2 linked regions of the Macaca fascicularis genome follow. The protein of the gene in region 1 binds, or shares a complex with, the protein of each later gene. Links are inferred from orthologs where the notes say so. Each region holds a gene or a part of one and is shown on either strand. Other genes may lie near its edges.

Region 1 (3,817 bases):
CCTGGACTCAGGCATTCCTCCTCCCTTGGCCTCCCAAAGTGCTGGGATTTCAGGGCGTGAGGCAATGCTCCTGGCCCAAAGTCTACTGAAGAAAGGGAATGACCTCTCTTTGAATCCCAGTTGCTTTGATGCCCCCCAGTGGTGAAGAGAATCACTGCCAAAGTACCGAAGAATCCTTTCTTAAACTAGCCTTGCCTATCAGCAGTGGCCGGACCACCCCAGGCCTAAAATCAGAAACCGGGAAAGTCAACAACCAGTAAGCTATAAAGTGGCCGTCTGGGCTAGTCCTTTAGGCGACTAATGCTCATTCTCAGCCAGCAGCTGCATTCTGATCTTTCCCGAAAAGTATCAGTATGGAGAGGGACAGTCAATATACCGTGATAGCAAAAGGGTTTCCATGAAAGGCCTCCTATGCCTGATACAGAAGCCAAAAGTGGTTTTTTTTGTTTTGAGACAGAGTCTTGCTTTGTCACCCAGGATGGAGGGTAGTGGTACCAACTTGGCTCGCTGCAACTTCCACCTCCTGCCAAGTGCTTCTCATGCCTCAGCCTCCCGAGTTAGCTGGGACTACAGGCACGTGCCACCACGCCTGGCTGATTTTTGTGTTTTTTGTAGAGACAAGGTTTCACCATGTTGGCCAGGCTGGTCTTGAACTCCTGGCCTCAAACAATTGCCCACCTTGGCCTCCCAAAGTGCTGGGATTACAGGCGTGAGCCACTATGCCTGGTCCAAAAGATTTTATAAACCAGAGCAACTAATCAGAAGGCATTATCTTTTTTCTTGTAGATTTACTTTCTTAGTGAAATTTTACTTTTGCTAATACTAAAGTTAAATTAATTTGTATTAGATTATGAAAATTGATTGTACTTCTTGATCACACATCAACTGATATGAAGAAAAAGGGGCCAAGGAGAAAGTGCTCAGGATCACAGCTGCGGCAGAGAGGAGCCGGCCTGAGATGAAAGGCATATGCCAAACACCATCCGACGGTGGGTAACTGCACAGAGAACAGGCTCCCGAAACAGAGACCATCGAACAGAATGGATGGTGCCCTAAGCTGCAGACAACTGCCTTCTCCTGTCAGGTCAGCGGCTAAATCCCTCACAGGGGCACAGCAAGGCCCATAAATCTGTTTCTCCACTACTAGCTACACAAGTTTACGGTTTCGAAAGCTCCAAGGACATATTTGCCACCAAAGACCACTCGTCAGGAGTGGTGACTAGCAAGAGCAAGGAGAGAGGTGGCCCTTCTTACAGTAAAAACTCTACATTGTTATGGCCAAGATCTAAACATCTCTAATCCTTGTCCAGATAGCGTGTGTGCACTGAACTTGTCTTTGATCAATGCCAAGTTATTTTATTCTGGGGACAGCCGTGCTTTTTATGTTGACTAGGATCATGGTTACTGGCAAGTAAAATATGAAGACCTTAATGTGGGAATGCAATTAACCTGGAGTGGAGCTTCAGAGCGCGAAAGAAAATCAAGCAACAAGAACAAACCAAATCTGTGGCTAGTTCTGGTCAGACTATGGACGGACCCTGCAGTGCGGCAGACACGTGTGGCCCACAGTGCTCGTGCGGATGGCTTAGTGACTGAACATTCCAGAAGATGGCTCAGGAAACTGGTCAGACACCAGTGCCATTGGTTCAAATGAGTCAAAACAAAGGAGGAGTATATAAAATAAGCTCATTCTTCAGTTGCTTAAATCCTAAGACACAGCTGGAAACCGACGCACATCCCCCGTGACTACAGCTACAGGAATTACTGAAGCTCGGGCTGGCGAAGTGTTTTCCCTGCCCGCATCAATCTTTGCATCCCGTGTTTCGGTTTGAAGCACTCTTTTAAGACAGAGTTTGAATGTCCTGAAAAGCTAGATACAGTGAGGAGATTTTAACAGGCTCTCCTCATCCCTTGAGTGCTTTGGGAATAGCAATCTAATCCTAACAAAAAGCCCATTGTTCTCACCACACTTGATCAGAGTCCAGTGAATACACACTAGAAGATGTGATCGGCACCAAAGACTTGACAGAGAAAGAAAGCGTGGGTTCCCCCCACACCACCGAGGCCCAGAGCTGAAGCCCTGGAAAGCAAGGCGCCCTCAGCACTCCGCACAGCTGCTGAAGCCTGGCCGTCCCCTCCTGTGGCAGGATCGAGGTCAGCAGGCAGCACTCACATTCTAATTGCCTCCTCCGACTCTAGGTTTGTCCTGGGAGGACAGGTTTGTCAGTTTAAGGACTTTAAAGCCCTCCTCTCGGAAGGCATAACGCCTCCCAGAAACACAGGAGCTGCACCACTCAGTAACGAAGCCTTCTGCTCGGCAGAGCTCACATACTGACCGGAACCAGCTTTTCTCAAAGCCCAGCCTCAAGTAACCCTTTGTTTAGCCCCACAAAACTTACCAACCACGGAGCTTATAGGCCTCCGGGATGTCAGGATTCACAATGATAGTGCTTGAAGACAGCACGGAGAGGCTCCGTCCACCGAAATCAGAGACTCTGGCTCCTTTGATGGCCAACACGGGCTGTCTAGAACCATCAAATTTATCAGCCTGTAAGAGAAACACCAGACATAGACAAGTGTCACTGGCAGGAAGAACAGAGACGGTTTTTATAGGAAACAAGGCAGTCAATAGTAGAGTGAATGTAATCAGTGTACACGGAATCTTATACAAGACAGACCTCACACACGAGAATCTGCTCAGAGACACATCGAAACTATCACCGCTTTCCTCGAGTCGGGGGAAAGAGCGTTTCCCCACGTAAAGCTTGAATCACAGCAAATCTCACGGAAGATAAAGGATTTCAAGTATTTGCCAGACAGCACAACCCTTCCCATCTACACGGTGAAAGCTCCCAACTCATAGGACAAAATCACCCCCACGAGGAGCTTCTCCTGTGTGTGCTGACCGCCCCATCCTACAGGACAAGACCGCCTCCCCGCCAGGAGCTCCTCCTGTGTGTGCTGACCGCCCCATCCTACAGGACAAGACCGCCTCCCCGCCAGGAGCTCCTCCTGTGTGTGCTGACCGCCCCATCCTAGCACTTACATCTTCCCCCCACAGCGTGGCAGTCACCACCTTCCCAGATGTGTCCATCAGGTAGATATTCCTCTTGGCAACCTCTCTGTTGTTAGACCTCACTGTGATTTTAGTGGCATCTTCGTAGCTCTTGCAGATCCCGATGATGTCTAAAACACAGGCGCGTGTGAGCAGGAGGCGTTCAAGGCTCCCACTCTGACGCCAGCAAAGGGTGAAGGGCAAGCACTGAAGTCCTGACACCGCCCCGTACGGTGCAAAGAAAGCGAGTCCTCCCTGCTCCTCCGTCCCATGCATGAGCTTACCTACGAGTGAGTCTTTCGACTTGCTCTCGAGGTCATCGATCCCCGTGAAATCAAACTGAACCGTAGGTAAATGACGGTCGTCTTCACAGGGCATGACGGAAGTCTCGTTATTGAAGGTCATCTCGTAGTCATTTTTAACAGCTGTGAACTGTTTGTTAGCAATCTTCAGAGTGCCTTTCGAGAAATAATACACCTGCGCAGGAGGCCACGTCACAGAATTTGAGACTGCCATCATATTGGACAGAAACCCCTGGTCTGTCACCACACACCCCTCCCCTGGGCCAGAGTCTTCTCATCCGCCTCCACCCCGGGGCGTGTCAGTTCTCAAGTCAGCACAGCCATACCTTGTTCACTTCAATAAGGGGAAAGAACTTGTCCACTTGCTCGTTGAAAGCTGCGGCTCTGATTTCACCCTGCAGAAGCAAGTGGGCAGGTTAGGGCTGCGGGACTGAGCACAGGCCACCCCAGCACCAAGTGA
Region 2 (3,817 bases), on another chromosome or scaffold:
GTGACTTATAGGAAGAAATGAAGGAAGAAGGAGGGGTGAGAGCAAAGGGAAAAACAGATTAAAATTAACGGAAAGAAAAGGTACATTCATAATCATAAAGGATTTAGCCTTTATTTCAAGAAGTAAAATACCTGGTACTGACTTGGAATACACAAAAGACAAGGTGACTGTATTCAGTAGAAGAACCCTCCACCTCTGTAAGATTCGTATTTAAACTGCGAAAGAAACGGGATTGGGTAATCGGGAGATTACCTGCACTTCCGGCTGTAGTTGCTTTTCTCGTAGGAGCTAGAACTAACAATGTTGCTTTTCGCACTTCTCCATAAGTGGTAGAAAGAATGTGACCTTATTCTGGTGCCCACAGGGGGTGGCAGGAAATATACAATTTGTACACTCCTGCTATGGCACTTCCCATTTTCAGAATCTCAGATACTACTACCGCTACCAACAACATTCACTGAGCAGATGCCATGAGCTGGGCACAGCTGTATATGTTTTATATGCACAATTTTAACTTTTTAAATGCTCTCGACAACTCTATAAGGTAGGTGTTAGTATCATTTCCATTTAAAAGTAGGAAACTCAGACCTTACTTCTGAGACATGTTATTAAAAGAACTCAAAGAGTACAAATATATATATGAAGAAAAACAATCCATCTTCCATCCTCCTGGGTAACGGCTGTTAACTGTATAACCTGATACAACTATCCCTACAGCACTGTATTTTAGACAATTACTAAAATTAATTTCCAGAGAACTTTTCCTTAAAATTATATTTAAGTGGCCGGGCATAGTGGCTCACACCTGTAATCCCAGCACTTGTGAGAGACCAAGGTGGGCAGATCACTTGAGGTCAGGAGTTTGAGACCAGCCTGCCCAACATGGGGAAACCCTGTCTCTACTAAAAATACAAAAATTATCTGGGTGTGGTGGTGCACACCTGTAGTCCCAGCTACTTGGGAGGCTGAGGCAGGAGAATCGCTTGAACCTGTGAGGCAGAGGTTGCAGTGAGCTGAGATCACACCACTGCACTCCAGCCTGGGCCACAGAGCAAGATTGTCTCAAAAAAAAAAAATTATATTTAGAAAGGCAAAAGGAAAAGAATTACGGCAAGGTGATGGTAATTTAGTCTGAACCTTAACCATTTTTTGGGCTGAAAAAGTTGCCAGCCTAGAAAAATGGGGAATGAAGGCAAATACAGTAAGTCCTCATTTAATGCCATGGATAGATTCTTGGAAACTGCAACTCTAAGAGAAATGACATCTAGCAGGTCTTTGAATAATGTTCTTTTGTTCAACATCATTTCCTTATAACGGCAGTCCCCAACCTTTCTGGCACCAGGGACCGGTTTCCTGGAAGACAATCTTTCCACGGGTGGGGCGGGGGCGAGATGGGCTGGTTTCAGACTGAAACTGTTTCACCTCAGACCATCAGGCATTAGATTCTCATAAGGAGTGTGCAGCCTAGATCCCTCCCACGCACAGTTCACAGCAGGGTTTGCACTCCTATAAGAATCTAATGCCACTGTGGATCTGGCAGGAGGCAGAGCTCAGGTGGGAAGGTGGCTGCTCGCTCGCTCGCCTGCTGCTCACCTCCTGCTGTAGGGTCCAGTTCCTAACCACAGACCACTGGTCTGTGGCCTGGCGACCACTGCCTTATAACATGGATGAGAAAAAACAACTGGATTCATCATACATCACTTTGTTTAAAGTTCAGTTTCCAATAACTTATCAACATCAAATGATGACTTGTTACAGTATTTCTGTTGAAAGATGACTTTCACAGATTTTATTTTTTTTAATTTATTTATTTTAGTTTTTAGCAATGGGGTCTCACCCTGTCACCCAGACTGCAGTGCAGTGGTGCATTCATAGCTCACTGCAGCCTTGAACTCCTGGGCTCAAGTGATCCTTCTACCTCAGACTCCTGAGTAGCTGGGACGACAGGCATGTGCTACTGTGCCCAGCCAACTTAAATACTTTTAAAAAATGAACGAAACATGGGAACCTAAAGTTTCAACAATAGAACTCACAATAAATTCCAGAGTGTCAATATAATGGAAATTTTACACAGGCATTAGAAGTTTTATTTACAATTAATTGTTGGCAAATTTTTAACAAATATTCATAACATCAAGTAGAAAAAACAAATGACAATCATCTAAATAATAATCTCAAGAATATTTTTTGAATAAAGGAGCTATACAAATTATATGTATGTGCATACATGAAAAGAAAATGAGGCATTTAATAGTAAAATATTTCCAAATGCAATACCAGTAGTACTGTTTTCTTCTTTACAGAAGTGATAATCATTTTAGAAAAATTGGAAAATATACTAAATATAATCCTAAAAAGATATACAGAGAAAATTAAGTGTTCAAATATATGTTTTACTATTATCTTTTAGCTAATGGAGAAAAGAGAAAGGTTAACTTAGAACTGTAAGAACTGGCTGGGCGCAGTGGCTCACGCCTGTAATCCCAGCACTTTGGGAGGCCGAGGTGGGCAGATCACCTGAGGTCAGAAGTTCGAGACAAGCCTGGCTAACATGGTTAAACCCCATCTCTACTAAAAATACAAAAATTAGCTGGGTGTGGTGGCGGGCACCTGTAGTCTCAGCTACTCCGGAGGCTGAGGCATGAACCTGGGAGGCGGAGTTTGCAGTGAGCCGAGATCATGCCACTGCACTCCAGCCTGGGCGACAGAGCAAGACTCTGTATTCAAAAAAAAGAGCGGTAAGAACTGACTTTTTCTTAAGGTAGAATGAATTTAGATGATTTACATTTTAGTAATACACAATGCCATTCACTGTTTAATAAATAAATATTCATGAATACAAAATGGTTTGATGCTGCTACTACATACCTGACATTGCTGACCAAAGAAGAGAGAAAATACTGATATTCGTCAGAAACATCCTTTGATGGTATAGGAAAAAATGTGTTATCTTCAGTAACCTCCAAAGCCACACGCTTTCCTATTTTTGATGATTTATATAGCCGAAAGTTTCTATTTCTTGTATAAACTCCTACATCAAAAAGTAATAAAACAATATGAAAGCATGTTTTCTGTGATTAGTTTTATGGTCAGCAAATATTCAATTTTTATATAGCATTAATAAAAGAAATAAGTATTTTCTACATGTAGCTGTAAACAAAATAAACAAAATTAAAGCACTATATAAATTAAAATAAACTGCAGTCAGCATGGAGGAATGCCACATTCTGAAATAGCAAACTCAATTATTCTGCAGCAATTCTGCAACTGAAACAAATGGAAAAGCTGGATGCAGGTATTGGAAAGTTTGAGACAACCAGAGAGCTTCTAAGACAGTGAGGTTGTGCCATGCCAAATCCCAGAGAAAAGGGAAGGACCAAAATCAAACAAATATCTAGAATAAATCTAACAACATATGGATAAGATTTCTATTCAGTAAATTATAAAACATTATAGAGAAAAATTAGAGAATCCCTAAGTAAATAGATGGGCCTACCATGTGCATAGATTGGAAGACTCAGTATTATAAAAATGTCAACGCTCCCCAAGTTGATCTGTAGAGTCGAGGCAATCCAAATAAAAATTCTAGCAGGATTTGTTTGCATAAACTGGCAAACTGACTCTAAAATTTAAACAGAAGTGCAAAAGCTCAAGAATAACCAAGAAATTCCAAAGAACAAATTTGGAGGAATTGTTTTTCCTAGATATAAAGACTTACAACAAAACCGTATTAGACAGTGTGGTGCCTATCTAATATATAAAACTATATTAGACAGGAATAGATCAATAGAACAATGAAGCAGAACAGGGTCCAGAA

What was found.
Region 2: the proteins of RPA1 (region 1) and PRIMPOL are in contact, whole or in part, in a crystal structure (PDB 5N85), measured with the Homo sapiens proteins. The link is inferred for Macaca fascicularis from reciprocal best matches to the Homo sapiens genes RPA1 and PRIMPOL. Residues at the interface, in NP_002936.1 of Homo sapiens: Arg31, Pro32, Ile33, Thr34, Thr35, Arg41, Arg43, Leu53, Ser54, Ser55, Met57, Asn85, Leu87, Lys88, Arg91, Arg92, Val93, Tyr118, Asn119, Glu120; in NP_001332824.1 of Homo sapiens: Asp514, Asn515, Gly516, Ile517, Asp518, Asp519, Tyr521, Phe522, Leu523, Glu524, Ala525.

Annotation. Positions count from the first base shown.
Region 1 is NC_088390.1:1,991,534-1,995,350, reverse strand, and holds part of RPA1 (replication protein A 70 kDa DNA-binding subunit), read right to left. Parts: intron 3,753-3,817; coding exon 3,684-3,752; intron 3,533-3,683; coding exon 3,340-3,532; intron 3,187-3,339; coding exon 3,047-3,186; intron 2,549-3,046; coding exon 2,400-2,548; intron 1-2,399. UniProt on the Homo sapiens protein: As part of the heterotrimeric replication protein A complex (RPA/RP-A), binds and stabilizes single-stranded DNA intermediates that form during DNA replication or upon DNA stress.
Region 2 is NC_088379.1:189,457,991-189,461,807, reverse strand, and holds part of PRIMPOL (DNA-directed primase/polymerase protein), read right to left. Parts: intron 3,623-3,817; coding exon 3,497-3,622; intron 3,032-3,496; coding exon 2,869-3,031; intron 1-2,868. UniProt on the Homo sapiens protein: DNA primase and DNA polymerase required to tolerate replication-stalling lesions by bypassing them.